Linked DNA regions of Arabidopsis thaliana. The protein of the gene in region 2 purifies or fractionates together with the protein of the main gene of each other region. This does not show direct contact. Each region holds a gene or a part of one and is shown on either strand. Other genes may lie near its edges.

Region 1 (8,499 bases), on a different chromosome or scaffold from region 2:
AAGAACTTGTATATAAGAGAGCTTAGCTTCTTTCTCAATATATCACAACATTCTCATTCATAGTATATACTCTATACATTTGAATGGTGTCAAGACTTTCAAAAATGTGAACTCAAAAGGAAAAGACTTTTTTATTAGTAAATGAAAAATGTGAACTCAAAAGGAAAAGGAAAAGAAAAATGTGACTATTTGCTCATGATTAGTAAATGACCAATCGTAAAAGAAAATTATCATCAACCAAAGATTCCAAAATAATTTGGTCCTAAAAGTCTATTTCAAAAAAAAAAAAAAAAACCAGACTATGCAAGTCAAAGTCCTAAAAGTCTCATGTATTAAAAAATAAAAAAACTAAATAACCTTAGTTACCAATCACGGCATAAATTCAATAATAAATATATCATTAACCTATAAATTAAAAGTTAAAGAGCTTACATTAATTCTTTAATAAACACATGGTAAATGCTAGTGATAATGTGTCAATCATATGAAGAGAATTGGCCAACTTTCATATATATGATTCTTCCTTGGATCTCAATCTCAGAATAAGAAATCTAAAGCTTAAAGTTTTCCCAATATTAGTAGATGACCAAAGATGCAAAAAACTATTAATCCAAAAACTCTATTTTTTTTTCTAACTCGAAAAAGAGGTGTTTTGCAAGATTTTAATAGCGTTTAAGTTTTCATGTAGAAGTTCTCGTCTCCTACAAAGAAAAAAAGATCACATGAATATGATCTAGCGCAGAGTAACTTGTTTCACATGTTTATTTAGAGGTATCAAACGGTCTGTTGACAAAAAGTAACTAGTCAATGGTGAAATTACCCATGAACACAAAGAAATAATGATATATTATCTCAAAGTAAAAAATTTAAAGCTTAAAGTTTTTCCAGTAAATGACCAAAGATGCAAAAAACTATAAATCCAAAAACTCTGTTTGATTTAATCCACTCGTACGTAACACCAAAATATAAAGTATAAACACCCAAACTACACAATTCAAAACCAAAACATTCCCTAAGAATTTGTTTACTTGGGCAAGAAGCATCCAAATTCAATGGCTCTCATTAAGCCAATCTTCGTCACCATTTACCAATCTCTTAAACATATTCAAGCATCTTCTTCTTCACAACTATCTTAATCCTTTGCAACACATTCTTCGCTGTCTCCTCAGTGACAATCGCATCAATCCTACTAATCAAACCCAATACGAATCTGAATTCTGTAGTACAATACCACCATAATTGTTCCACTACAGCGGTTTCAACTTCCCTAAGAGCTTTCCCAAGAAACCCTAATTCCATTCCTCTCTTCACCGATTTCAACATCTCATTCGCAAGATTCTCCACCAAATCAACACGTGTCGTCTCCAACAAGTGAACCGCCGCACAGAAACCACCCACAAAGGCCAAACCCCACTGGCTCGAACTCTCTTCCTCTTTGTTACCTAAACGTTTTAAGATCGCTGGAAGAAGATTATCCATGAGAGGAATCAAAAACTCCTCTCCATCCAAAGGCATCGACAAGCTCTTGAACACGGAAACCGCTTTCGCAAACTCTGATTCCGCTTTAGACGAGATAAACTCACGCAGGTCATACCACGTTTCTTCCTGAATGGTGAATATCTCGAAAGCGACACGGTTCACGAGCATGGAAAGAATCTTTAAACTGTTGTTCGAGATAACTTGTTCTTCAAGGCATGATATGAGTATAGGCGAAAGTATGTGAACCACTGCCAAATTCAAAGAGGCTTCTTCTATGATGAAGATAACGTGGAGTAATATCATCGCAATCTCTCTGATCTGGTATGGGACTCGTGGATCATTCGAGGAATAGACACGCATGAGCTTGAGGGAGAAGCATCCCGGGTAATTGGCGACGCAGAAACGGAAGAACTTGATGTCTTTATCTTCTGGATTCTCCGGTGGCTTTGTGAGGGCGGCGATGAATTCCACCGTCGGTTCAACGTGGGGATTCGCAAGAAGCTTGAAGGCGGCTTTGGTGAAGTCTTGGGAGGTTGGTTGCTTCGGCGACTTCTGATTATCCATGGGAAGGTAACAGAAAGTTCCGGGAGATCAATAGAGTCTATAAAACGGTTGAAGAAGAAAAGTATATCACTGCTTTAGATATATCTACGCACGATTAAATTAGGTTTGTTAAACTTTTTTTTTTATTTATTTTTTTCTAAAATTAGGATAATGATAGGATAGGATATTTTTCTGCTTTTTTTTGTTTTTAGTTGGATATTTTTCTTCACCATTACTGGAAATCATTAAATGAATCTTCTTGAAGTTTTAAAAGATTCTTATAAAAAGAATATCTTAGAGAGTAGATATTGTAACATATTTAAGAGTCTACATTACAGAGAATTATATCAATCAATTCATATGATTACTTTCTTTAATCAATCCCACTAATCTTTCTCCTAAAAGAGAATGTGGAAGAGGCTGAAGTTGTTGACACAATGTCTTCCGGAGGAAACAACACAGAGTCCGAAGAAGAAGAAGAAGCAACTCAACCACCAATTAAGAAGATTAAACAATACAGTCACTGTGTTGTTGTTGGAAATTAACTAGTAAGGAATTAGAGTTCCTTAGTTAAAAACTCATCATCATCCTCCCATGAATTCTTTATGTCATTCCCATTCACATCTTTATGTTATTAGCTAATGTAAAGTCATGATGATATTAGCGTGTTTCAAGGTTTACTACTAACATTAGCGAATTGTAACGAATCAACATTTTCTCTCTTACTCAAGAGGCAGTATTTAAAGATTGGACAACATGAAACGCACTCATGTCTATAAGAAATTCAACCCCCAAAGAGATTTAATCAGATCAATGTCAATAATAAATTTATACGGACACTTTAAGTATAGCTTTTTCAACCAACAAATAGAACCAAAAACATGACTCTAGAGAATTCCCAGACCAAACCAAAACAAAAGCTTCCCATGTTCCAACTATATATTTCCGCAACCAGAAATTTGGCTCTTCTTGCTCTATTCAAACCAAAATTAAGAAAAATGTGTTTCTTTTGAGTGATAGATAAATGATAAAATAGACGCTGGACAAATCCAATTTGCATTTGCTCAAAAAGCTCTTTTAATCTACATGAAGTCGAAGTCATCCATGGCATCATAAGGACCAGCCACTAGATCGTCATTGGCCTTATCTACAATAAGTTGTTTCTTCTTTCCACCTGATCAAGCAATGCCAATGGTCATGAAAAACGGATTCAGAATAACACATTCATAAAACTATAAACCAAAGATGAAGTGATTGTGAGTAACACATTCAGAATAATACCTTTCTTTTTTCCCGCAGCAGCTTCTTTCTCTGCCTTTAGTTTTTCATTTGCTATCGTTGTAATGGACGAAGCAACATCTTTAACATCAGCTGCTTTCATGTTGGTCAATGAAAGTCTCATGATTGTTTTGAGCAGCGCTATATAGTGATAACTTTTCTGCAACAGAAACCAAACTATATTTTCACACATCATGAGCTTCAATACTAGCCAATGAGAATAAAGGTATATAAGGCAGAATACAACATACCTCATATGGTTTAATCCTATGAGAAATCATTTCAGCATATTCCAAAAAATCGCTTTCAGACTTGGGGATAAACATATCAAGGTTTTTGTCATCATCCTTCACTCCAAAGAGCTCAGCAGTTGCCCGGTAGTCGGCTTCCTCAACAAGCCTGTGATAGAAAGAATATAACATATAAGGTCACATAGACCTTCACAGCCTTCTTCCATACACAAAGTACAAAAGATTAAAGTGAATTATTATGTGTGGGAAAGATATTATTTACAAACTGTACCTCTGCTGGCGAAGTTTCTCCGCTATAGGATCTAGAGGTTTTTCTTTTGGTGCTTCCTTTGGAACTTCGACTGCTTTACCCTTCTTTTCAACAGTTTTGGGGGCTGCTTTCTTAGGAGCCTTCTCCGGAGCAGGATTTATAACAGGCGGCTACAGAAAAACAACAAGGCAAAGCAGACAAAACATAAATATTCCCGTTGGAATCTCAAACCAAATTATACGTAGTAGCCACTAGCCAATAGGGAAAGAATTACAGAGAGTAAAAACTAAGCTATACCTGAGCAGGTTCATCATCATCATCCTCCCATGAATCCTTAATTTCATTCTCATCCACATCTTCATCATCCCAGTTACTTTTAAGCTCAACTTTTGCTGGAAGTGGTGCAATTTTCTCGTCCTCTGGAATCAGAAAATAAAAATTATAAGACTACTCACATGCTAGTGATACGATTTTGAAATATCAAATATGAAACCCATCAGATTAGCAAATAATCCAAAATTGCTTGCATATCCAATCAAATACTATAAATAAATAAGAAGACTATAATTAGATACAAATAGAGAATATAAGAGAGGACACTTAAAGCATAGTCTTACCCCAGTCATCCATATTTGCTGCAAATTATCAGGTACAGATATAAGCTTCTATCTGAGTCCAACTGGTAAACCTGCCAAACATACGCGTAAGCATCAGAAACACGCTTATTTGATCAAACTACATTACTGATCAATCATTCAATCCACATAATCAAATACACTGATCCCCATGTGTAAATATGCTTAAACTACTTGTAGTAAGCTTGCTAACTTCACATCATAGACAGAGAATACTGATACTATTACTTTACAAATCAAGGTTTCACAGCTAACAAAAACACATAGGCCTAATATTTCACACCCAGGAAAAACAGCTAAATCTAATGCTTACAAAAGACAAGATATCTTATATCAATTAAAACTATTACAGGCATGTCAGCTATCTAAACCTGAACACAAGTTCCATGAACTCTTAGAGAGATACCAAACAAAAACAGTCCCCAAAACACAAGAATCTTAAACACATAACTAATAATTTCCTTCTGATTTTGGTAATCCAATCCTATGGATTTGCAACATCGATATGAATTCCTCAATCGAAATCAATCAAAATGGTTAAAACCTTAAGAAGTCCTTGTTTCAATAAAAAAAGGATTCAACTTGAACATCATCATGCAAACAAAGAGCAGAGAAAAAGTAACGAATTGGTCATAGTAATCTACACTACACACAGAGAAGTTTTGATGATAAAGTTTGAATCATTAACCATGAATTCGAGAACCCAACATTAAGAAATCAAATCAAATCAAAATCATAATTTGGAGCAATTCTATAGAAACCCACCAGAGAATCAATCGAAAATTAAGATCTAGAAGCGAATTTAACTGAGAAAGGAAAACCCTTTGATAAGAAAACATACCGAGGAAAGTCTGAATCCAAAAGGGTTTTTCGCAGAGGAAGAGAAATCGCAAGAAAATTGAAGCGTTTTCGTTGGATTAGAAATCTCCGATGTGGTGGTTTTTGCTTCAGAGGTTAAAAAGAGATTTAGGGCTTTTGTGTGTTTCCTTTTGTTTTTCGTTAGATTTTATGCCTTTTTATAAAGCCTTTCCACCGTGGCCCCAACATGTCGAACCGATCAAAGTATAGACCAAAGTTGTTTGGTCAATTTCGGTTAGACTGATACGGTCGAACCGATCACCGTGGCCCCAACATGTAACTTTTTCCATCTTACACTCTCCATTTTTTTATTCCGTTTTTAATCATTTTTTTTTGGAGTTTTTGCACAATGATTTGAATTTGCTGACCAAGTATTAAGTACTTTTTGCAAATGAGGGTTGAAGGGTATTCTCACATGTGTGCAATCGATTGTAGAAAATACTTATGTATTCGAGATTGAAGTTTAAGTTAAAGGCTTTGATTTTGATTCATCGTATGTATCAGACAACTAGAGTTGTCCATCCAAGTCAGATTATCCCGAATATTTGTAAGCTTCTTGACTCTACAAATTGTTTAGGTCCATTGAATATTGAAGCCGTTGGTAAGCCAATCTAGAACCATATCAAACAACAACTTCAATCGATTAGATCAATGTATTAACGATCTACTGTGATATAGTGGACAAGAATCAAGATTCAAGATTCAAGATTCATTCCTCACACACAAGCTGAGTTAAATCATCACCTTTCATCCACCTCTAAGCAACAAAAATAAAGTTCATCACTTTAAATTACTTAAGAGCTACATTTGAGCTTATGACCATGACCAAATCTGAAACAGTATCCACTCAATGTATATGTGATTCATATTTTGCAACTACTCATATAGTTCTCACAAAATATTGAATTAACCGTTGAAAACAAATATAGAACATAAGATTAAATTATAATAAACTACAATCTCTTCTTCCATTTATCATATAGAACCTAAGATCAAACGGGTAAAACCACACAGTACACACTGTAAGAAACTGAAGCTTCTCAAAAACTAGGAATCAAGATTCATTCCTCAACACAAGATGGATTAAATCTTCACTTTTCATCTACCTCGATTCAACAAGATATAAAGCTCAACACTTTATATTGCTAAGATCAAAGGTTGATTGAGCCTATGAACATGACCAGAATCTGAAACAGCATCCACTTACCAAAACTATGATTTATAATGTGAGTTAGAACACTGAAACTGTTAAACTATCCTCTGACCAAATACTGAATCATATATTACTAGACCAAAAAATGTCAAACCTTCCTCTGTTGAATTGCACTAAATTAACCGAAGAAAAAAATATGAACATGGAAAGCAATTATGCATATCTCTCACATTTTCTCATTGGCAAACTAAGTAAACTAAAATGTTGTCTTAGATTCATCATAAAAACATGAACAGATTTAATCTTAACCCTTTCATCTACCTCAATCCTCAAAACAACAAGAGAAAGTTCATCACTTTAAATTTCTAACAGCAGAGTATAAACTTATGAACAATAGATACGAAACAGTATCCACCATTCCACCTACTAAAACTGTGATTCATATGTAAGCAAGAAGAACACTGAAACCAAAATATTCATAACCCTCATATTATCTCACTAGCAAACTAAGTAAAACTACAATCTCTCCTCCAATTCATCATATATAACCCAAGATCAAATGGATTCAACCACACAGTATACCAAAGTGAGCTAATCAAAAACTAAGAATCAAAATTCATTCCTCAACACAAGACAGATTAAATCTTCACCTTTTCATCTACCTCAAACCAACAAGATATAAAGTTCAACACTTTAAATTGCTTAAAAGCAGAGTATGATCAACTAGTTAATAAACATTGACAAACAAAGTAAAACTACAATCTCTTGTTCAATTCATCACATAGAACCACAAGATCAAATGTTACAAAAACGCTAACCTTACAAAGCAAAGCTTTTGAGGAAATCAGGATCACGTTTAGCTTTCTCCTGAAACTTCTTAAACCAACGATCCAAAATATCCATAGGAACAACCAATTTACTTCCATCAACACCACAAAAAGACTGCATAAAGTTAAACAAATTCTCTCCAACTTTCATAGCCAATTTCTCAATCCTCCTCTCCGCAACAACATCCAACGACCTCAACGCTGCTACATCCTCCACCGAAACACCGATCTTCGCCGATAAGGAACTCGAATCACCCGCCGTGAGTTGCATCTTCGCTGCACTACCAGGTTCAGGCCATTGAAGTGATAAAACAGCAGAAGGTCTAGCTAAAGTTACAGCACCACAGAACACAAAAGCTGATCCTGGAGATTGAACATAAACAGCTAAAGCTTTATCTGGTGGAAGATTGAAATTGTTTAACAAGAAGATACACATCTCTGAGATTTGATCATAAGCTTCACCTGTAAAAAAAGAAAAAAGGTTGGATTTTTCGATTAGGGTTTTTGATTTTGGGAATTAGGGTTTTGAAAAGTTTGGTTTTTGGGGAGATGGGTACTTACCGACGAAGTGGTTCATGTCGAGAACCCAGTGGAATGTGTCGATTTGAGTGAAGGTTGAGATGTCTATTGGGAAACTTCGATTGGGGAAGACGACTCCGAACATTGTTGAGTTTTTGGTTTTTTTGAAAGGTTTTGATTTTTTTTTAATGTGAGTGAAGTTTTAGTTTATGTTGGTGATGGAGTGATGGAGTGATGTAGATGATTGAAAGAGAGAGGGTGAAGAATTTGAAGATGGTTCTAGAAGATTTGAGAAAGAGCTATGTACTCCGCACGAAGACTTTTTTTTGTGTGACCGCGGAAAAGATTAACGTTATTTTATTTTTTGGAAATTTCATTTTTCTACCTAAAATCATGTACAATAGAGGTGTTCAATAAATAAGAAATTCAACAGTTGAACCATTACAATAAAGATGTTGAAAAAGAAAAAAAAACTTATGTGGATTTACTTCTGTTAAATATTTTCAACATGTTGAAACCAAAAATATGGGATCATAAATGACACATATTCATTTCTGATTGGATATTAAAATTTTTAATCTCACCCTAACTATTTAACATCAAGTATACTAAAATTTTTATTTATATATATTTTTATATCAAAATTCATCATATTTTTTTTCTCTATAAATAGTTTTGTATTTATTAAACAAACTATTGGAAATGT
Region 2 (8,099 bases):
ACGTACGTAAAATAGATGTAAACAATACCAATTAAAACATAAGTAGTTATTTGAAAAGAAAACTCTTAACATAAAGAAGATTATAGACCACTAATTTGTATTTCAAACTATATAATCATTTGTCCTTTGTTATAATCTACTTGTCTAATGTCTAATATGTAATGGAAGAAATGGTCTGTCTTCACTCGAACCGTTTCCAACTGATAGTATTAATTAAATTCAATATCCAATGTACCGATAAATTAACAGAAACATCCATGAAAGTCTTGGTCACAAAAAATATATTTCATGCACTTAAAAGAGATTTGGTGAAGAAATCTCAAAACAGTCTTATTACAATCAAAATTTATCTATCGTATATAATAAATAAACAAAAAAATCGGTGAGATTAGAATATTGAACTGGAAAAGAAAAAAGAAAAACCAAAGTCAAAGGAAACGACAGCTTCCAAGTAAAACACTATTAGAAGATTAAGTGAGACCAAACTCCAACCTTCCTCACATATTTTGGATAAGCTTCGCATCTATATTCCTCCTACTTCCATGTGCCATTCCTTTTTCAATTCATAACACGGCACCGTCTAAATGCTTATCCACACTACAATAAAAAATAGTCATTTTTATTATATACGCGTTTCAAATACTGATAACACGATACAGTACTAATTTAGGGGACACTATATTTGTGAAAACTGCGGACTATACACTTTTCTAGTATCCAAATTTAATTTTGAGCAATAATTTTATCGTAACGTATATTTGTCTTATAATGCTCCTACTTGCAAGTATTATCCTAATTGTTTGACCTTATAGATAGAGCTTTTATAACTTTTGTAGGGAAACATCAAACATGTATTAAAATCTCTAGTGTTGCGAATTTAAGTTTATGCTTTCTTGAGTTTCTTTAATTGCCCGTCATTACGCTACTAAAATTTCACAATTTTGTCCGTTTTATACATAAATATACATAAACAAATACGTGATTTTTCTCTCTTTTTCTATTCAATTCATTATAGAAAATAAATGACGTTTTTCATATTTGCAACTAAAACATTGTTTTCTTTCAGTTTTATGTGGTACATGACACCTGTTATGTTTTACGATTGTTGATATATATTCAAAACACCATGTGCATGATTAGTTGAACTTGTAGCTGTAGATCGACAACTATCAAAATTATTATATATTTGCTTCGATCAAAAACTATCTACAGCTTGTAAATATTGCTCATAAGTGACAACCCATAACGCATGACTGACTTTCAAAAATGTATTTGCAGAAAATTTTATATTCTTATCGATCAACCCCTAAATGTTATACTACATCGCATATATCATCAAATAAAACATTTCTATATATGTATTAACATGTTATGAACATGACTGTGTGTTTTAACTTTAACTTTTATTAAAAGATAATATCTTACCAAAAACGAGAAAATATTCGATATTTCCTTAGAAATCAGATTACTGAACATTCGACTAATCATCAGGCATTTACCTTTCATAGAAAACAGTTCAAAAAGCAATATAAAGCCAAAAAACGAAAAAAAGATTATCCTGAAATTAATCCACAGTACTGGTTTTTTTTTTTTTTAAAAAGGAGACCGCGTTTCTACGCTGACTTTCAAATCAGTCGCGTCGGTATTATTCCACACGCCTTTTTTCTCGTCCCCATCCTCTATCCACATTTCTCTCTATATATACTCTCCTCGTATCCTAAACTCATCCTCAAATTCAAAATTTAACACACAAACACAAACACACACACCAAAAAAAACACAGACCTTAAAAAAATAAAAATGGTTGATATGGATTGGAAGAGGAAGATGGTATCATCAGATTTACCAAACTCACCTAAGCTTTCTTCAAAGCTTCACGTAACTATTCCATCACCGTTCAAAATCGTCCCTGTTTCATCTCCGATCTCATGTTCAGCACCTGCTCTTTGCTCTGCTTACGAGCTTTACCTTCGTCTCCCTGAGCTAAGAAAGCTCTGGTCATCTCGTGATTTTCCTCAATGGACATCAGAGCCGATTCTCAAACCAGCTCTTCAAGCTTTGGAGATCAGTTTCAGATTAGTTTTCGCCGTTTGTTCTGATACTAGACCGTACATCAACCACCGTGAATGGAACCGGAGGCTAGATTCTCTCATCACGAAGCAGATCCAGCTTGTAGCAGCGATCTGCGAAGATGAAGAAGAAGAAGGTATATCAGCGGAGGCTCCGGTCGGCGGTGGACGGAGTTCGTTGAGTTTGTTACCGCAGCTAGCTACGTGGAGGAGATCAGAGGCTTTGGGGAAGAAGATCTTATATACGATCGATAACGAGATGAGTCGGTGTAAGTACACGCTCGGACTCGGTGAACAAAACATCGCCGGAAAACCAAATCTCCGGTACGATGCGATTTGCCGACCAAACGAGATCTATAGCCTCAAGGATAATCCATACGCAGATCATATCGATAATCACGAGAATCAAACTCTCTATATCATTCACCAGATCCTCGAATCGTGGATCTACGCATCTGGAAATCTTCTGAATCGAATCGTCTCAAGTATCGAAGAAGAGAAATTCGGAAAAGCTTCAAACGATGTTTACTTGCTGGAGAAGATCTGGAAAATTTTAGCGGAGATTGAAGATCTTCATATGTTGATGGATCCGGAAGATTTTTTGAAATTGAAGAAACAGTTACAGATCAAATCGACGGGTAAAAACGATGCGTTTTGTTTCAGATCTAAAGGATTAGTGGAGATGATGAAGATGTCGAAAGATCTGAGACAGAAAGTACCGGCGGTCTTGGCGGTTGAGGTAGATCCAACCGGAGGACCAAGATTACAAGAGGCGGCGATGAAGCTTTACGCGAGGAAGACAGAGTGCGATAAGATTCATTTGCTTCAGGGGATGCAAGCGGTGGAAGCGGCGGCGAAGAGTTTCTTCTTTGGGTATAGGCAGTTAGTGGCGGCTATGATGGGAAGTGCGGAGATGAACGCGACGGCGAGTCAAGAGTCGTGTGACTCACTGAGTCAGATATTTATGGAGCCGACGTATTTCCCGAGCCTTGACGCGGCAAAGACGTTTCTGGGAGAGTTTTGGAGTCATTTGGGATGATTAAATTTTAATTTCTGCTGGTATAATTATTTAATATAAATTTAAATTGGTGGTTTGGTTTAATTTAGTTTGTAAGATAGTGAAATTTTTGGAACATTTGACGATCCATATTTGAATACAAATTCATTTTTATATGATTTATGAGATTTTTTAACAAACGATAACATTTACGAATATCGTAATCCATACTTTGAATTATCCACAAGTCGTAATTCAAATATGGGTGGTCTACTAACGAGTAACGACTAATCTATATGCTCTGACTAATCGTCAACAAATCACCACCTATCCTTCGTAGATGTTAGTGTATGAGAAAAACACAATTTCACACCTATCCTTTGTAGATGTTAAATTATGAGAAAAACACAATTTCACTTTCACAGTGTATAATATTCAAAATTCAATGATAAACACACACACAAAAACGTTATAAAAAACCCAAACCGACGATGAGTAACCAAACCGATGTATAAAACGACATTGCCTTTCTCTGTTTTTTGTGTTCAACAAATTTCATTAAGAGAAAGAAGGGAAGTGTTTGAATGAGTATTCATTCATTAGTCCAAGAAAAACATTTAATGGGCCTGTTTGTAGGCCCACTGGCACATAACCTATCTTCTGTATCATTGATGCCTTCTCCTACCTTCCTCTGACGCTCACATCGGAAACCCTAAATCTCCACTCTCTCGCGCCTTTTACCCCTTCTCAGAATCTTAACCATGGCGGCGACGAGCGAGCACACCATCTTGCAATTTGTGTCTCCGTCATCAACGGCGTCCGCTACAACCTCTGTACTCACGGCGAGGATCCACCCTCTCGTTATCTTTAACGTCTGTGATTGCTTCGTGAGACGTCCTGACTCAGCTGAACGAGTCATCGGAACTCTCCTCGGATCTATCTTACCTGACGGAACCGTCGATATCCGCAATTCATACGCCGTCCCTCACAATGAATCATCCGATCAGGTTCGAAATTTTGATCTCTAAATTTCTCCTCTCTCTCGATTCTCTATCGTTGGAGATCCTAGATCTTTCGTAGCTGAAGATTTGCTTGTTAGGATGTGAATGTTTATAGGAGTAGTGTTAGCTTCATACCCCAAGGTTGTGACTTGTGATAAGTTTTGAGGGTTATGGTTTGATATGGATGCAGGTTGCTGTGGATATTGATTACCACCACAATATGTTAGCTTCACACCTTAAGGTGAATTCAAAGGAAACTATTGTCGGCTGGTACTTCTCGTTTCCCACTCTTATTCTCTTATACTCTCATGATTAGTCTCATATCTTTGTCACATGATTCTTGTAGCTGTGTTGGAACACTGCATTAGGTAGTTTCTCATTTTGGAATAGTTGATTGAACAAGTTTATTGATTTGCAGGTATTCAACTGGTGCTGGGGTTAATGGCGGTAGTTCGCTGATTCATGATTTCTATGCTAGAGAAGTACCCAACCCAATTCACCTAACTGTGGATACTGGGTTTACTAATGGTGAGGGTACTATCAAAGCTTTTGTCTCTTCAAACCTCTCACTCGGTGATCGACAACTCGTTGCACATTTTCAAGAGATTCCTGTTGATCTCCGCATGGTTGATGCTGAGAGAGTCGGATGTGAGTATTCTATCCTTTTATTAGTAACCAATTCTATATTCAAAATACATAACAGTCCTCATTCCTCAATTGTCTAAGTAGTTCAGTTTCTGCATGGTTGATTCAGTATCTAGAGATTGTTTCCCTAATGATTGTGAATGAACCAACGGGAATAGATGATCTTTGGTTGTGTCTGTTCAGTAGATTAATGATTGTGACTGATTTAAAAACATCATTTTGATCCACAGTCGATGTACTTAAGGCAACATCTGTTGACAAACTCCCAAATGACTTGGAAGGAATGGAGTTAACAATGGAGAGGCTGTTAACTCTAATCAACGATGTCTACAAATATGTTGACAGTGTCGTGGTAAGCTTATGATATCCTTGACTGTCTATTATCGACCATAGATACATGATCTTTGATACAGAGTTTTAATGAAATTTCCCAGGGAGGTCAAATAGCTCCAGACAACAACATTGGACGATTCATTGCAGATGCAGTAGCCTCCCTTCCCAAGTTACCTCCACAAGTCTTCGATAACCTCGTGAATGATAGTCTCCAGGTAAAAGATTGTAAATTTCAAGCCAAAGCAAAACACTTTGTAAAAAACTAATGGTTGTTTCTTCTGTTATTTCAGGACCAATTGCTTCTGTTGTACCTATCAAGCATAACAAGGACACAGTTGAGTCTAGCGGAGAAGCTAAACACAGCTGCTCAAATGCTATAATAAGCTTGGAAACACAAGGTTTTGCTAAAAATGGGGAATGCTGCTTTTTTGGTTTCGAATTTTCTTTTAACAAGTTTATGTAAGAATCAGCTTCTTGTTGTAGTGTTCCTAAATTGCAAGTTTAAGAAAGACAAAATGCTCTGTTTCGTGAATTAAGGTCTTTAAAAGGGATTTTTAGTTGGTGTGCCTAATTTTAAACAATATACATATAAATGAGCTTTGTTCTTTTTTTATTTGCCACTTGTTGCGCCTAATCTTTATCACTGGAGATATTTATGCTCAGAATTTTGGATCATGGTCTCTCTCTATTAGCTATGTTACATTGAAAGAGTATAGAAGCCTAGAATTACTGCTTTCTCTTTTGCCGTATTGCGATTGGCCTATGTAGGATCTTACAAAACAGGCTTAATAGACACTATTGGAAACTAACTTCTAAATTGTAAACAATTTGCGATTTGCGGTTGCATATAATAATGCTAACTTTGGCATATAATAGACACTATTGGAAGTTAATATCTAAATATTACACAACATTTGCGATTGAAATCATTCAGCAATTTTTTCATTTCCTGCTTTCACTACACAACTAACACAATCAATTTTTTTACCCGTTTTTTTGTCTTTCTGATAAGCTAAATTAGAGCTACGGTTTATGTATCGGAATACATTAAACTGATTTCGCTGAATCCGAACGAGTATTTGAAGTTTTTGTGGTTAAAAACTTGATTATTTTAGTTTGTGTTGTAAAAACATGAGGGGAGTTTTTGTGGAATGGATTTTGATAGCAAATGTATACGCCTGTTTCTCTGTCAACATACGTACTACATACGATGTTATACAGACATATACGACCGTACCAGTACATGTACATATCAAACTTGAGAAGAATATGTGTAGGCCGGTGTGTAGATGGGTCAACATTAAAGACGTGCATGCACTTGTGATGTAAGTGAACAACTTGCATACATTGTTCACAGTAATCTAACTTATCATTCCACTTCACCCACCTTCACTCTATGGTTATTGGTCTCCATAGCCTTTGCCTTTTCTCTTTATTTATACATTGACGTAGTATCATACGTATTAGTGCTAACCGATAAATTAATATTCGAATCATTTTCATAGTAGTTGTGGGTTACATTTATTTAAAACCTGAAAATTTACGATAATTTGCAATAATTCTCATGATTTTATGAGACGGACTAAACATAACACGGAGAAAACACATACTCGACGACTAGCTACAACTATATTTATGAATTAGGGATGGGCACTCGACTTTTCAATACGATCGACATCATATTTTAGACCAAAATAATTCTTAAAACGCTCTTTGATAATATGTGTAACCAAAAGAGCCACCCATTCATATATGGTCCCGTGATATATTATCACATGATCTCTATTCAAACTATGACATGCATGGTCCCGGCTGTTTTAAACCTAACGATTCGGACAAGTTATTTTCATGCTACATGGATTAGTAATTGTAAGTAGTTTAAATACAAGCTAGATTGTTGAGACGTCTCCATATTGTTTCGTGCAGGTGCAAAAGACAAAACAAACGACAGGCATACGGAGAGACGTACATACGTAAAAGTCTGTCTAATATAGACTTTGTCTTGTCTATAAATATAATACAAAAACTGAAATATATAGTTGAAAAAAGAATTATTAATTATGTTATTGAAAATATATCATTACTTTTATCTTAGGTATAGCTTTTTAAAATTTTATTTAATCATTTAATTGTTTATACGTGACTCAGCTGGCATTAGTTTTTCTTTATAATCCCTCATATAGTAGTAGTGGTGGTTATGCTTATATTTTTTTAATCATGGGCATTTATTAGAATAATACACTTATATGTAAATATAATGTCAGCTGTCCTGAACATATTTTTTGGTAAAAAAAAATACTAGCTAGTTACTTGAGGGTTGGATTCTTTCTTTTTGTCACCAATTTAGGTTTGGGTTCAATGCACTTATATGACAATGGGTTTCAATATAGAAAATTCTTGTGTCTTAATTATCAAGAATGACAATACTGATTTTAATCACCCGTGAACCTAAAAGATGCAGAGTGCATGGCAGGTCAGTACCTGATACATTACTTAATTTTATAGTGCAACAATCATGTTTAAACTGAACTCTCGCTGAGATCATTCATTATGGACCGTTGTTTTCGGTTGAAATTATATATCTATTTGAGTTATTGAAATTATATATTGGGATCTATATACAGTAAACCATTATCTATTTGTATGCGTACGTAATCAACATCCCGTTGATGAACCACATAAATTTGTTGTGTGTTTTGACTTTCTTCATAAAACCTCCATTTACTTGGCATGGACGACATACCAATTATCAAAATGTCCCATTTCAAATGATTCGTATAGAGTTGATTAACTTTCTTTTTAATAACACCACGACATTTGGAGAGAAATCATTACGCTGATGAATGAACATAGCTCGAAAAACGGAATTTGGGAAAGAAATCATAAGAATGGGATAATTTTTATTTAAGCTGTATAATTTGATGTAGAAGTGAAGAATAAAATGAATATGACGAACACTGCCTTGGTTCAAAGTATGTTACATGCATTTAGTCTGCGGTACATGAACCAACCTTATATGCTACTTATAATAATTATACAAATAGTATATGTACC
Region 3 (8,083 bases), on a different chromosome or scaffold from region 2:
TGAGGTACCATCATCCAAGAGAATACGAACTTGGACACTAGCCGATGAAGCTGCACTGGCAGCAGCAGCAGCTTGAGCTGCAGCTGCAGCGGCTTCTTTTGCCTTTCTCGATGAACCACCCTTAGGGATTATAGGCATTCTATGAGGTAACACAGATTCTAGAATCGCAAATCTGTCTCGACATGTATCCCACGCCAACAGTCTTGCACTTCCAGAGTCAACAATGGACCAGTCACTAACCTTGTAGATAGAGAAGTATAGAATATCCGGCCATACAACTGCCACATACCTACAATCAGAGAATAAAGTTAGCTGGCTAAAAAAAAAAAAACTCAACAAATTAGCTGAGTTAAGAAGAAAATTATATTCATAAAAAACAATTAGCTAAGGAACTTACTTCCCTGAACTGCTCACAGAAAGAACTGAGTATGAATCATGTGGAACTGGTGCCACGATCTGCTTTTTGGTTTGCTTTACAGTTAACTGTTCACCTGGGTCTCCCTTAGAAAGCCCTGATTCGGACAAGGCACTATTATTGCCAAGGGATGGGTTGGCTGTGTTGGATAGTTGAAAGTTCAAGAGCTTTAATTCTCTTCCAAGGATATATATAGCTGAATTCTCCCGACTTCCAGGCAGTGCTGGTAGAGGAGCTGCAGACGGGATAGCACGAGGATCAAATTCACTAACTATAATACCAACATTGGTACCAGTTGCGACGAGATGTGGTTGTAGAGGATGTGCAACCATACAATAGACCTAAAAAATGGAAATTAATAAGTACCTGATGAGGGTTACTACCAATGTATGGAAGCCATGAAAGCGAAAGAAGTACAGAAGCAATGCTATTATAATTATGCAATAAAGAAACTAGCAATCTTTGAAAATCATCAACTGGCGGTTTCAAGTAGAAAATGAACCCCGAATATTATCTGCAAATTCTGAAAAAGGAATAACTTTCAACTTTCGGGTGCAGCATGTGCTTTCCCTATCACCATCTGACATAAAGATTACGTATCTTCTCCATTGCAATTTTCTTTTAGATAAATTTAGTGTTCAAACAGCTATCAATTTAAAGTCTGCTATATACAAAACTTTTCTGCAAGAAGTAATACAAACAGTTGTATTCTATTCTTATTCTTATTCCTAGTCTACTTGAGTCAGAATACCTTTGCATTGCCAAGTGCAATATTATACAGCTACACAACTTCATCATTTGAACCATAATAGATGCATTTTACGAGATAAGAAGAGAAACTAATGTTTTGTGGGACACATAGAATGGAGCCTCAGAGAGCAATGCTCATGCTCAGGCTTGAGCATGAGCTATTGATATAGTATACAACTAGCAGGCAGAAAGAAATGATATGATACGTGGTAGATTTCGAGGATTTCATCAACAATGAGCTAATTACCCTAAGTTTTCTGTGGGTTGCAAGTACTTGAGGCGGAACCAAGGAAGAAAGTTCACATAACGGCCTTGTCAGGGCCGAATAAGTTGGATGCTCAATAGACCTGCAAAAATTCAAACAATTAGACCACTCATCTAATATACATAAATATATTCTACCATATACAATACCAAATCTTAAACAAAGATACCATATGTGTGAATCTTTAACGCAAGTCAAAATATCAAGGTTTGGCGCTCGAGGGTGACACCAAGATGCAACACTGTGGCAAGCTAGTTTCGGGACAGGTTTAATTCTACGTAGCTCCTGTAGAATAAAAGTAGATATGCATGTTAATAAATGAGATCGGGAAAATATGAAAAATCCATACATGAGATACACCATTACCTTAAATGTCATTGTATCCCATATGGCCAATGTCTTGTCAGCCCCAATTGTAATCAATTGTGGAGCACTCCCACTTACCCTTGACAGCTCAACAGCCACCACCCCACCATCATGTGCCTAATACAATCAGAACAAAAACATTAGAAGAAGCCAAGAAGGGATTAGGAAAAAAAAAAAAAAAAAGTATAACAGAGAAGTGGAAATTATCCACTCAATTAAGCAAACATGACCATGTCTATTACACCAAAAAAAAAAAAAAAGCACGAGCATGTCATAGTCCCCTAATCATTACTCAGCCTTTTATAAAAAGAATGAAAGAATATCTAAATGCAAGTATCCAACATTCAGAAACAGACACAGAAATCAATTCAGAAGGTTCACTGGAACTAAGAACAATGGTGCCTTAGCCTCAGCTGTAACCAAATCTGGCAAATCTTTCCAGGCCTAAGAATTGAACGGTCATGGTAATATCCTCTCTTGAACTTTGAATGAAAGAGTGGGCATAATTGAGTACCTTTAAGCTAAGCTTGGGTACAAGTTCCCTTGAGTCAGCGCCATGATCGGCACTCCACAGTACAAGTAAGCCATCACTGCCACCTGAAACAAGGAGTGCCTGCAATTGCATTTAGATAGAGGATGGCTAGTATCATGTATTGCACATAAATAACAGAGAGAAAATACTTGATAAGCATTCATTAAAAAACGTCAAGTTATATAAAAGGGAAGAAAGCCCAGTACTATCAGAAATTCGCTATTAACATAACCTAAACAAGCAATTGGGAAAAGAGATGCCAATGTTTAAAATTCCCGCCGCTCCTAATGCCTAGGCTATGCATGAAATTTAACCCGAGTACAGATGATCTAAGAAACTAAGGCTAGATATTTGGATTGTAAAACAGGTATCCGTATAGTAAGGCCTGCTGCGGTCTGGACTCCCACTTAGTAGAATGTGAGATTTTTACGTCGCTAAGAAGAAAGAGATATATGTAGGAAACTTCCAAGACGATATGCTCAAGACCTCGTTTTCATATAATATATACAGTCGATCTTAGTAGGTGATCTTGAGTATGTTTTTCTAAGTTACATGACACTTTCATCTATCAGATGGTATTAACTATTAACATATTAAGTAAATAACTCGAAATAAATTCAGAGCAATAAAGAGGGCATATATAGGGAATATGTAGTTACTTCGCCAGATGATGCCATGAAATTCATCAAGCAATAAATGGATCCTTTATGGCCACCTGTATATCGACGTGCAAGCTGCAAGGAAGTAAACATTCAAGGAAATTAACACAGATCAGTATCAAAATCCCTCACTCTAAACCCAGCAGAGAAACCAAAAAAAAAAAATATAATTTTGAAACAAACAAACCTTCCATGTTATCATTGATAAAACCCGAATGACACCATCAGTTGAACCAAATGCAACTAAAGGGCCATCACCACCAGATGATCTCGAAAGAAACTCCATGCTGCAAAGAAAGGAAGAATTCTAGCAACATTAAGGAGGAGTAGAAATTAAAAATGTAGAAAGGGAGTTTGGCCATTGACTGAACATTAAACATCAAGGAAGCCTGGTATCCATTACACTTAGAACACACATATCCATTACACTTATGCCTAGTCTACATTTGACTCAAATATTTCCAGCGTAGTAACTAACGGAGGTCTTTCCAGGATTCAAGTGATTTAAAGATAGGAAGCCTAAAGTAATGGAGCATCTTCCCCGGGGTCCAGGTGTCAAGCAAACCCATATCCTAAAATTAGAGAAAAAGCAATGAACTTACCAGAGAAGTGACTTGTTATCAAGCTCTTGCTTTGGCACATCACGACCACGCATTGTCACCAAATCCAAGAAAATAGCTTTATTCTCACAACAAATGACCAGAAAATGACGGCCTTTAGTCGATGGAGCAGGGGAAGTGAAAGCAGATGTCAGATGATTGACAGCTGATGGAGATTCAGCAGCTGCGGAGCGGTTGCGCCACAGTTGCCAATAACGCACATCATCGTCATAAAACTTCACCTGCTTAACGCTAGTAGGTGCAAACATTGAGCAGATAAGTCATTTTTCTCATTATCGAAAGGAGCAACTGAATTAGCAGCGAGAAAGATCTATCTACTACCTTCCTCCTCGAATGGCTTCAGTAGGCTTAGCTTTATAGTCTGAGGAAAATACGAATGTCAGTAAGAACATAAAGCATCAGAAACTCATACTCATTTCACCAGAATAGAACAATGGCTCACCGGATTCTCCTTCGGCGAGCTTCTCTAACTTGGCACCAACTAAACGGCGCTCGTCAACTCCGCCGGCTTTCAATTCATAAATTACCTAACACAATAGACATAAACGTTGACAGATCCACGATTCGAAATCAGAACCGGAACCAAAATCAAATCAGAATCTCGATACAGACCTGACGATGCTCCCAATTCCAGACGGAGACGTGATCTGAATCATCAGCCGTAACAAGCCATGGATGCGTAGGATGTACCTGTATCTTCACAATCTTACCATTGGTCTGCCGAAATGCTCTCGCCCGCAACATTTCGATCTCTCTCTCTCTCTCTCACAGTTCTTCAAGATCAATTAGACAACTCAAAAATCTGAGCACAACTGCATCCGCATAGACGATTCGACTCACGAGAAACTCTCCAGAGCTACACACTAAAAATTTCCAGAAAAAGCAAGCAGGGCTATGGTCAGATCCAGATCAATTAGATCCACCGCGGTTATCAAATGAAATGCCCGGATCCACCACCACTAACTACAATCGCCGAACAAAAACTCCGGTAGTGTCTTCAGACGCGAAACGCGTAAAGCGCGAATTTGCGAAGGCTAGTCTGATTAACCCAAAAAAAAAGGCCCAATAACAATTGTTTTAGCCCTTTCCTTTGTCGCAAAATATATTCCATTTACGGAAATTAATTGTGGATCCGTTGGATCACTGAACTTTTTTTTTTCTTGTTCATAAGTTTCTTTTTTATTCAAATTATGGGTTTACAAACATCACTAAAGCCCAGTCATCAAAGTATTTCACAAATCCATAAAGGGTACAACTAAACACCTTGTAGTAAAGAGTACAGCGCTAATAAAACAAGTCAAAGCAACATACGACACGTGGATGTGACTTTTCTCTTACGCCGATGATTGTTTCATCGTTATCTCCCAGCACCACCATCAAATCCGATAACCCACCATTTCCTCTACGACAATCTCATCACGCTTGTAAATCTGACTCTCTGCTCCACAATATCCAGAGTTTATATTTGATCTAAATTTCTCCAGAACAGCAACGATCTATGACAAAAGAGAAATAAAAAACCATGATTTCTCTTGATGATTAAATCTTACCAGATATGCCGAATTGAGATTCTAAATCAAAGGATTGAGAGAATCGATTTAGGTTGAAACAAACTCTAATAGTTGATTAAAACCCAAAAGGTAAAGATTAGAAATGAAACAAAGATTGACTTTCATCTAAATAAGGATGCAAAAAAGCTTGAGAAAAGAGGATGATAAGGAAAACCCAAAAAAAAATTGGTACTAAGATCACAATGATTATTGAAAAGCAGAAAGGTAAAACCGGTATCAAAGAACTGGAAACTAAAGCCGGATTCCACTAAAGAGAAAAGTAGAAACCAGACGGCGAGATAAGACGGCAAAGCCGGACCACGTCCGGATACAAAAGCCAGCCACCACCACTAAAGAAGCCAATTGATGCTGGAAACGAACCAACCATCGTCGTTAAAGAAGCCGAACGATGTTGGACGGAGTCTTGCCATGAATCGCTTTTTCTTTCTCTGAAAAATTCAAGTGAGAGAAGAGAGAGAAAATCGAGAAGCCTCCGATCACTAAACTTTTAAAGAGAATTCCAAATGAATTATCTCAAACAAAATGACTATAGTATTTGGTGTAATAAGGGTTTACTATGTTTACAACTAAATCTAGAATTCGATAAAAAGATTTGCAATCAAAATTAAAGTCTTATTTAATCTTCAATTTAATTTAATTTTTTCTTTACAGGTTTCATTGAAGTTTACTCAATACACTTCGATTTTTTGTTTTTCCCGTCTAAACTTGTTTTCCTCATACACTTATAGAAGATCTTAACTTAATAAAGAACAATAAAATCAACGCCGCTTGTCTTCTTCAATGCGAGTGTAACCACATCGGACTTCCACGAGCTAAATATGATCTGCATCGACCTTCTCTCATTACGCTTGTGGCTATATCTCGTGCGATGAAACCTTAAATACGATCTTATCAAAATTCGGGAGAAACCAATGAATCCTATCAAGATAAGATAAATACGTGGCCAATCTAATGGGTCACTAATGGCTTCCATAGGAGCACCATAGTCGGACCAAATCTCAATATTATAGAAGTGTAGATCACATAGACTGTGTAGTACCCATAATATCCCTCTCAACTCCGCAGCAATACGATTTGATGTTGGTAAAAACATTTCTCCCGCATGAAAAACAGCATCACCATGATGATGCCACATATATGAGCATCATGATGATGCCTGACAATCCATGTACAATACACTTCGATTTATTACGCTTTTTTTTTAAAAAAAATTTTATAGCCAAAACATGTCAGACCATATATTCTAAAACTAGTTTCATAAAGCCACTTTTGTACACAAAGAAAATTAAAGAATTACTGTATTCTTATGTACGCAAGTCTCCGGTTTAAGTGATGTTACTTCGACTTAAAACAAATCGACTGTGCCAGCTCCGGCTTTTCCCAGTTTCAATAGTCGATAACAACACACTCAACAAGTCCTCTGCTTCTTCCTCCGATGGAAACTCTAAGTTAGTCTGAAGAAGCGGCTGTGCTGAAGGATTGTTCCATCGTTTTTTGGTCGGGCTGCTCTTCTTTTGCTGGTCCTGTCTCCAGTTCCATACACCATCTGAATTGCTTCCTATGATGCGGACTACTCCACCGCTGCAATCTGTATGTATTACACTCTCCAAACCGATTTCTCTTTCGATATTCCATACCAAATCTATTGGAACTCCGAGAAATCCCTGTTTTCTGAAATCTACCAAGCTCAGGCTGCTTAGAACCAATACCAGTCTCCCTGTGATTACAACGAAAGCTCCTTCTTGTTTCAGGGCTTTGCACTTCACCAGCTTCTCGCCCTTGAACTTCAGGGAATCTCCAACCTCCATAAGTACTGCTGTCCCGACCGCTTCTTCCCATGAGTAAGGCCTGAGAGGTTGTTCTCTACTCAGAGGCCTCGGAAGACGAAGCCTATGCCTTTGGGATCTTATGTTATGAATCCTGCTTCGGTTTCTTATACTCTGTGCGGTTTTTCCAGTTACCTCAAGGATACTAGCGGTTGGTCTGGCCACAAGTCCAGTAATCCCCATGGCCACTCCTGAACCATATATAGGCACCCAGTTAACATGCATAAAATTAGAAAGCCAGAAACAAAAGGACAGCGTGTACACGAACATCAAATGTCTTGAATGTCTATAGATGACTTGAGCGGTGGTTCTCGCTTAAATACCTGAGATAACGCCTGGAAGACCATGTTTCTCAGCTCCTCTTATTGGTGATTGAAGGAGACCAGTGAGTCCCTGTGATGAACATCGTGTCAGCTGGCATGCTTAAATTCTTTATGCAAGTTCAGAAGAATTTGACAGAAGTCACTGACTTCAAGTAACTTTCAAGACTAAGTGAACATCAAATCAGTATATAAGACATACTTCCAAAGAAAGTGCAAATAACATACCTCAAACACTTCACCTATAACTCCTTTGCTACGCGATCCTTCACCCAATTGCTGCTTCTCCATCCTTGCAACATCATGGTCATTGAATGTAAATGCAACAATACCCTGCAACGAATTGGTAATTCTGTAAATATTTCTTGAAGGAGGCGTCTACACCATAGATTTTTAAGCAAACAGATGCATCGTACCTTGTGTGCAGCTTTACTAAATTGAGTGGCAGCATCACTTAAAGCATAAATAGTGCTACTGAAGAGACTTGTGGTTCCGTGAGCCATTCCTTGAATAATTCCTGCTGGGCTCTGTTCAAGTAATCTAGGTTAGCATATAAGTTAAAAGTGACTAAACCAGACATTACATGAAAATGTTAAGCAACAAAAAGAGATTTTAATCATAACCTTTGAGATACTCCTGCTGGGAGCTGACAGGAAATCTTTAATTCCAAATGCAACATTCCTCGCAAACCCCATGGGATTTCCAATAACACCAGCAGAGCCGAAAACCTGTGTTATAGTACATTGCAGAAATACGTCC
Region 4 (7,476 bases), 1.5 Mb from region 2:
TGCAGGTTTGTCCCGATCTCATGCTACATCATTATACGAAGCCATTACTTAACCCAGTAGATTGATAGCTCAAATTATCATTGCAAGAAATGACCGGATTTAGTGATATTGTACAGTTTTCTGATTCGGAATTTTAAATAAAAATCGGTCGTGACGATTTAGGTATGTGGGTAGTGCGTAGAAGCCCTAATTTCAAGGATATGTACAGTTCCAGACTGTTAATTATTTGTGTTTATTTGGATAGGTTGTTGGAGCTGTAGTGCTTAAAAACCCTACCTTTATACTGTTTAGAGCAGCAGTCCCTCCATGTCAGGTCTTGTGGCGTTATGCAGAGCTCGAGCTTCTGCTTCGTCTTCTTTATTCAACAGCGTTATTCGTCCAGCATTTCGCAATTTCTCTACAGGTAGGTGGTATTACTCTTTATTCTAGATGTATGCTTTTGACAGACTTTTCAAGTTTTCTCACTCTTTGCTTTGAACCTTGAATGAATTTGTTGAAGAGGTGATATATGGGTTGTGAAATGGTGTAGGAACATGGTTGCACTGTGAGTTTTATAATAATAGTTAAAGCCATTTTCCTTAGGCAGAGTATTGTTACAAACAACAAAACATTGAGTAACGTCTATTGTTATGTTAGCCTCTTCTATTTAAGTGGTCAAGTTGATTTTTTTTCCTATGTTGTGGGTTTTATCAAGCTACAAACCTCTTCTAGATGGATTAGGAACTGGATGAACGAACTTACTTACTTCTGGATTAGATGATGAGCTAGTGTGAAAGTGCGGTTGCTTCTTTTTGTTAGATGATAAAAGAATGAGCTTGTATCACATCGGCTCTTCTTCATAAATTAGTCTTGGATTAAAGATTGAGCTGAAAACTATGCTACTTCAAGTTAAGATACTATGTAACTAGAATAAGTTTATAACTAGGGCCTAAGCTGGGATCTCTGCAACTATGGTGCTATTTGTATCTAATTCTTCTCCTAAGTCTCTTGCTAGCTGGATTATATTCTTTTCCTATAATTAAGATTGAGCTCTGTGGAGTATCATTGATTGATGCATGTAGCTACTTTGTGGGACTTGAGTCTGTCTAGTCTATAATTAAGATTGATCTGTGTGGAGTATATACATCTCAAAAGTGACTTAACCTGAGGGATTTGGAGATCCAAAGTTTCAATCAAGCTTTTTATTTTTTGTCAAAATCCATATCTTCTGTTTTGTGTGCGTTTTATTTTTTGATAGAAAGCCTCTATCTCTGTTGGTGTTTTGCAGGTTTTGCTGATACACAGAACAAATCATTGGTAGCACAAATGAAAGAAGAGATGCTCCACATGGACATCAACTCAATGATAGGAAGTTCCATGCCACTAGGTATGATGCGTATCGGAACAATCATCCACAACATCGAGATGAACCCAGGGCAAGGCGCAAAGATGGTCCGAGCTGCAGGAACCAACGCCAAGATCCTAAAGGAGCCTGCTAAAGGGAAATGCTTGATAAAGCTTCCGTCAGGGGACACCAAGTGGATCAATGCCAAATGTCGTGCTACGATTGGCACAGTGTCGAACCCGTCTCATGGAACGAAGAAGCTATATAAAGCAGGACAGAGTAGGTGGTTAGGGATAAGGCCCAAAGTTAGAGGAGTGGCGATGAATCCGTGTGATCATCCACACGGTGGAGGTGAAGGAAAAAGCAAAAGTAGTGGAAGCAGAGGAAGGACATCGGTTAGTCCGTGGGGAAAACCGTGTAAAGGCGGTTACAAATCAGCTAGTGTCAAGAAGAAGAAGAAGCGTTTGGCAGAAGCAGCAGCCAAAATGTGATATGGGTGAACAAGTTTCGATTTTCTTCAAACGTTTCTTTCTTTTAAAAAGCCTCCAATGTTATTTGGTTACGTTATTGAATCTGTTTTTTGAGAGTTTTTTAGGCTTCATGAAACTAGAAGATCTTTGATCAGTTGAGAATAAATATGGTTACGTGTTTACTTTTATTAAAAAAAAAAAATCGAATTCAAACGTTTTCATCATAACAACGTTTAAAACAATGCGAATTTCTTTTTTTTATATATATATTAAAATCGTCGAAATCAAATTTGAGAGATTTATATGCTTATACTAGAGAAAAGGGTCTAAAAAGAAAAGAAAAGGAAACAAGAGAAAGAGTCAAAAGGTTGGAACAATATGATGCATTGAATCAATCCCCACGATAAAAAAAAAACATTCAGCAAAAAAAAACATTCAGCACAAATGTCTTCTTTGACTAATTAATTACCCCAAAACATTAATCAAAAAAGTGAAGAAATCAATTTGACATCTTCCTTGGTCTAAACAAACAACCAACTATTGAAAAAGTTCCTTATAGTGGTTTTTGAAAATTGAAACAAAAAACGAGAATGGTATTCTATAGGGAAAATAGTGAAAGAAGCCCACAGAATTGGAATAAGGAATGAGAATTAGATGTAACAAACAACAGAACAGCAACCATGCCTTATAATCTTGGGTCCTACTCCTCCATATCATTTCATTTTTATTCTTACTTCTATTTTGAGCATCTAAATAACAATCTTTGAGCTTTGAAGCAAGTGTTCTTTCTGATATTCTCTTACGATGACAGGCACACTTGTGGGAGGTACCTGAAATATAAAACATGGTCAGTGTTCAATGGTTTGAGATTCTGAATGAGTGGAGAAACTGTGTTGCATGAGTTATGTTTAGGGATGAGATCACTTGATCACCATAATGCTATGTTTTTAATTAAGAGCCGATATGATTAATCTTACCATGCCATAATCTGTGATTATCATGGAAATGTAATCTGAAGGTGTAGCATCATACCTATCATTAGAAAAAAAATCACAAACGGGTTTAGTGGCAGGCAGAGAAGAATAGTATTAACAGAACATATATAGTTTCACTTGTACGATTAACACAAGCTAGCTTACATCAAGTTCAGAAACTTCAGCTTTGCATTGTTGGTCAAGCCATTTAAGTAGTTTATGTCTTCTCTTCCATGAACTTTTGAAATAGCATTTGGATCACCGAGCTCATTGGAGCATATTGAATAATCCAACTGCACCTTCTCATGGAACTTATAGGCTTCGCAACAAACAAGCACAGGAACACGGAAAGCATTAGCCACCATTGCAACACAAGCAGTGCCAACCCTTGAGTAAACTGTTCCGTTAGAAAAAACTGATGAGGCGCCCAAAAACACTTTGGTGACTTGGTGCATGATATATGATATGGCAGTTATATGAGTGTATGTACAGTTAATGCCTCGTTTGATCAATCTACGAAGCAGTAGCTTCCCTTGAAGCTTTGGTCGAGAATCCACCACAAAGACACGAAACTTTTTCCCGAGTTCATGTGCATGCACTAATATCATCTCAATGACAGTGGAAGATCCGTAGGTCAGAAGGACATCACCGTCTCTTATTTTAGTGACAGCATGTTCGACTATCACTGTATCTGCACCTATGATTTTCTCGTTAATGAAACGTTCAATATCTGAGTGAAGAGAAGCTTTTGCTTCAGATTCAGAAAGTGTTATAGGCAGCTTTGCAATCCTGTTTTTCACAAATCGGATTGCGTTTCCCATGCTAATCGAAAGCGGACGGCATTCTATGAGGAAAGAGACGTAGCTACTTATTTGAGCAGTCATGTCTCTATTAAGGGTATTCTCAGGCGGCGTCGAGTAATCTTTAACAACCTCTTGGAATGCTTGGAGCATCGCAATACATCTGGCATTGCCACCAGAAATATCCCAAGAAAGATAATGAAGACCAACCTGATAACCACAACAACGTCATACTCATTCACTAGACAAGTAACATTCATCTTAATGAGCAACCACTTATTAAAACAAAGAGATTATATAATTGTATATTACAAGCACTAACCATACCTTGTACACAGCAGAATGCATAGGGTCAAGAAGTTACGATTTTCTCAAATGCTTCTTCCTTTAAAAAGCCTCAAGGTTTGGTGACGTTATTGAATCTGTTTTTGAGAGTTTTAGGCTTCGTGAAATTGGAGGATCTTTGATCAGTTAAGAATAAATATGGTTAGGTGTTTCCTTTATTTAAATATCATCGATCGAAATCAAACGTTTTCGTCATGACCACGTTTTAAACAATGCGTTTTTTCCTTTTTTTATATACTAAAACTGTCCTAATCAAATTTGAGAGATTTTTATATATATGCTTATGTATTACTAGAGTAGGGCTCAAGTAAAAATTCGAGGAAAGGGTCTAAAAAGTATAATTCAGAAAACGAATAAAAAAGGAAACACGAGAAAGAGTCAAAAGGTTGGAACAATGCATTGAATCAATCCCCACGATAAAAAAAAAAAAAAAAAAGAAACATTCAACACGAATGTCTTCTTTGACTATTATCTATTAACCCAAAACTTTTAGTTATATATACATTTTATCTTTTTGATGAAACTTTGAATGCTGTAGGCTGTAGCAGAGAACAATATATTCTTCAGCAATATTAGTTTTAAGACGTTCACTGATAGATTAGAGTTAGAAATTAGTCGGTATTAAACCAAAAAAAAACACACACTAGTATAATACACTTGACCGCATAATTTTGCTTCCACTTGAAAAGTGAAGAAATCTATTTGACATCTTCCTTGGTCTAAACAAACAAGCAACTATTGAAAAAGTTCCTTATAGTGGTTTTTGAAAATTGAAAAAAAAAAACAAGAATGGTATTCTATAGGGAAATAGTGAAAGAAGCACATAGAATTGGAATTAAGATTGAGAATGAGATGTAACAAACAACAGAGCAGCCAGCCAGCCACCATCCTTGCAAACTTGGGTCCTACTCCTCCATATCAATTCCTCATTTCATCTTTATTCTTACTCTTCTCTTTAATCTTCTAATTAACAATTTTTGAACTTTTCATGTTTTGGTACATAACCAACGAAAAAAGAAACAAGTGACGTACAAAACACAAGAAGAAAATGAAATTATCTTAATTGATTCTGACCTAAAGAATTTAACATTTTCTCTTTCAAATCTTTTGTAGCAAGGGAGGTGAAACGAAAACGAATCATTAAGATACGTGCAATGAATCCAATAACCTCTATGACTAGCAGATGCATGAATTTTATTTTTGTGTTTCTGTTATGCATCTTTTTAGTTGCTTTTTAAGTCTGGTCATATCTTCGCTCAGACTTCACTGATGCAAAGCTGGATACAAAATCGACAAAAGTATATGTCCCCATATATTCCTATCTTTATACTGAAGAAAATATATACTTTAGCTTTATCTATCGCACTACTTTAGTCTTTAGAGTTGATTTATCAATTAGTTCCTAAATCAACTAATGCACATGATTTAATGTAATTAATTGTCTCTTAATTGTACGGATTAGGTGATGAAGATCCACCGTCCACCATGGCTGTAGTACCTAATTAATACCGTGTAAACTTTAAACCACGGGTATTACTTATGATTGTTATTAGAAAATAACATTAGCTTACCTCAAAAAAAATGAGGAATTTGTTTTTGATTTCTAGCAAAAAAAAAATGAAACCAAAAATGATTAGACGACTCTTTTGTTTGTAGACACAATAAATAATATAGAATTTTTGTAAGAAATTAATAGTTTAGAACAATATGCGTGTATTCAAAAAGAATATAATTAAGAATATTTGAAATGATTAAATACCAATATTATTATATTAGTTTATATTTTTAAATCAAATTACTCAATTACAAAAATAATACATTAGAAAATGATTAATTATATTTTTCTAAAGTGTTATAAAGACACCATTTCCTAACGGTATTGATTTTAGATAATAGAAAACAATAATTTGTGAGGAGAAAGTATTTAAAAGAAAACAGAAAAAGAAAATGTATAACGTAGAAGAAAGGTGGCTTTAGATTGGAGAGTTGTACGAGGAATATTAATAAGTCAAGTTGGTCGAGATATGCATTGAATCGATGGGAACGAGCCACGTGACAACGACATGTGCCGTTTCATCCACATTACATACCTTTTGAAATTATTGCTTATTTAATTCTTCTATCAACATTTTTTTTGCTTATACTTATTTTCTTCAATATATCTCATACCACTAACAATTAATAAAGGCTAATCTTAATAGAGAAATAGAATCATTCGTTTTAATAAACTCAAGTATATGTGATGAAACTGTGGGCATATCATATAAACTTGTTATTGAGCATAATAATTCATCTTATTATGTCCTACTATGCATTATGCAATGTATATAATATGAATTTTTTGTTGAATATTGTTGCAGGTCCACTATGTTCCACTAGACATGCAATCTAAGGGAGGGTTTGCGATGTTCAAGGCAATCATGCATGGGTTGCCATTTCTATATAGCTTTCCCTTTCTACAATTTTTTTCTTTCTAATTTTCTAAAAATTAAATATACACACACTATGGATGATGGATTAACCAATAGAATCCAAGGAATTACGAGTAAAAAAAACACCCTCCTATAGTTCACCTATATCTTATATCTTTCTTGGTTTTGGCTACGAATTGAAATCTTTTTCTGATTTGGATAAGAGATTGCGCTCTCTGTATACGTTCTTATATATATCACTATAATCAAATATGGGTTTTCTATAAATCTGTAAGGCATTATAAACATATGTATCAATATATTCTTAACTGACATTTAGATTGGTATAAGCAATGTTATTTACCTACATATTATCTATTTGTTTACATAGGAACTGGTGGCATCGATCCTAACCATAAGATCATGAATACAAAAAATCAAAGATATCGAATCAAGTACATATCCACAAGATAATTTGAATATCTTTTAAGATCGGGAAGATATCACTATGGTGTATATGCTATTTATATAACTGATCAGTTATATATAGTTGTTAAACTTTGTTCTAACAATTTAAAAGTCTGCATCATCTTTTTATTGACGTTAATTAAGTTTTGTTTTTGTTTAAAGCGGGAGGTGAAGTTTTGTTGTAATTATGTCTACTTGAGCCATTATAATTGTAGAATAGTAATGTCATTTCCATTGGGAGTTTAGCTAGTAGTTGACGAATAAAACCATTTCTCCTTTGTAAAAAAAAGTAGAAAAGACGTAATCAATAGATGTTATACATGCGATTCATTGAATTTGGATAAATAAGTATTTTGGATTGAAAAAAAAATAAAAAATGAGTAGTGGATTTTGGTAAGCTGTCAATTGGTTAATACCAGAACGGCTGAAACTAAACTGCTTGCGAAAATTATCATGTCCCTCTTAATTAAACACCCAACGAAAAGTACTTATGAATATATCCATTAGATATTTTAATTATTACATTTTTAGGCTGTTAAACAAATAAATTATATCGGTTTACCTGAAAGATAATGAATGAAAAAAAAAAAATCTTAATATATTATTTTATGTGTTTTTAAAAATAATAAGCTGTCTTGTATTTTTAACAAATAGCATTTTTAATATAGTACGATATTTAATACT

The links.
Region 1: the proteins of EIF2 (region 2) and AT1G66070 fractionate together in Arabidopsis thaliana (co-fractionation; one large-scale study listed by BioGRID). This does not show direct contact.
Region 3: the proteins of EIF2 (region 2) and AT5G24710 fractionate together in Arabidopsis thaliana (co-fractionation; one large-scale study listed by BioGRID). This does not show direct contact.
Region 4: the proteins of EIF2 (region 2) and AT2G44070 fractionate together in Arabidopsis thaliana (co-fractionation; one large-scale study listed by BioGRID). This does not show direct contact.

Annotation. Positions count from the first base shown.
Region 1 is NC_003070.9:24,593,090-24,601,588, forward strand, and holds AT1G66070 (Translation initiation factor eIF3 subunit), read right to left. Parts: upstream 5,543-8,499; 5' UTR 5,278-5,542; intron 4,490-5,277; 5' UTR 4,432-4,489; coding exon 4,419-4,431; intron 4,221-4,418; coding exon 4,099-4,220; intron 3,972-4,098; coding exon 3,823-3,971; intron 3,700-3,822; coding exon 3,552-3,699; intron 3,461-3,551; coding exon 3,304-3,460; intron 3,197-3,303; coding exon 3,105-3,196; 3' UTR 2,720-3,104; downstream 1-2,719. Other genes in the region: AT1G66060 (hypothetical protein (DUF577)), read right to left, coding at 1,096-2,043; AT1G66080 (hikeshi-like protein), read right to left, coding at 7,267-7,736, 7,836-7,938.
Region 2 is NC_003071.7:16,695,658-16,703,756, reverse strand, and holds EIF2 (eukaryotic translation initiation factor 2), read left to right. Parts: upstream 1-3,447; 5' UTR 3,448-3,827; coding exon 3,828-4,073; intron 4,074-4,257; coding exon 4,258-4,337; intron 4,338-4,485; coding exon 4,486-4,715; intron 4,716-4,942; coding exon 4,943-5,064; intron 5,065-5,146; coding exon 5,147-5,260; intron 5,261-5,335; coding exon 5,336-5,425; 3' UTR 5,426-5,716; downstream 5,717-8,099. Other genes in the region: HSPRO2 (ortholog of sugar beet HS1 PRO-1 2), read left to right, coding at 1,801-3,108.
Region 3 is NC_003076.8:8,463,570-8,471,652, forward strand, and holds the start of AT5G24710 (Transducin/WD40 repeat-like superfamily protein), read right to left. Parts: upstream 4,605-8,083; 5' UTR 4,352-4,604; coding exon 4,220-4,351; intron 4,135-4,219; coding exon 4,050-4,134; intron 3,969-4,049; coding exon 3,929-3,968; intron 3,839-3,928; coding exon 3,590-3,838; intron 3,275-3,589; coding exon 3,175-3,274; intron 3,063-3,174; coding exon 2,988-3,062; intron 2,410-2,987; coding exon 2,311-2,409; intron 1,914-2,310; coding exon 1,797-1,913; intron 1,716-1,796; coding exon 1,600-1,715; intron 1,513-1,599; coding exon 1,413-1,512; intron 757-1,412; coding exon 398-756; intron 290-397; coding exon 1-289. Other genes in the region: AT5G24740 (vacuolar protein sorting-associated protein, putative (DUF1162)), read right to left, coding at 6,504-7,195, 7,328-7,397, 7,553-7,657, 7,741-7,851, 7,948-8,083.
Region 4 is NC_003071.7:18,228,554-18,236,029, forward strand, and holds AT2G44070 (NagB/RpiA/CoA transferase-like superfamily protein), read right to left. Parts: upstream 4,078-7,476; 5' UTR 3,917-4,077; coding exon 3,896-3,916; intron 3,779-3,895; coding exon 2,934-3,778; intron 2,855-2,933; exon of another isoform or gene 2,837-2,854; intron 2,827-2,836; coding exon 2,772-2,826; intron 2,625-2,771; coding exon 2,544-2,624; 3' UTR 2,312-2,543; downstream 1-2,311. Other genes in the region: AT2G44065 (Ribosomal protein L2 family), read left to right, coding at 307-403, 1,268-1,815.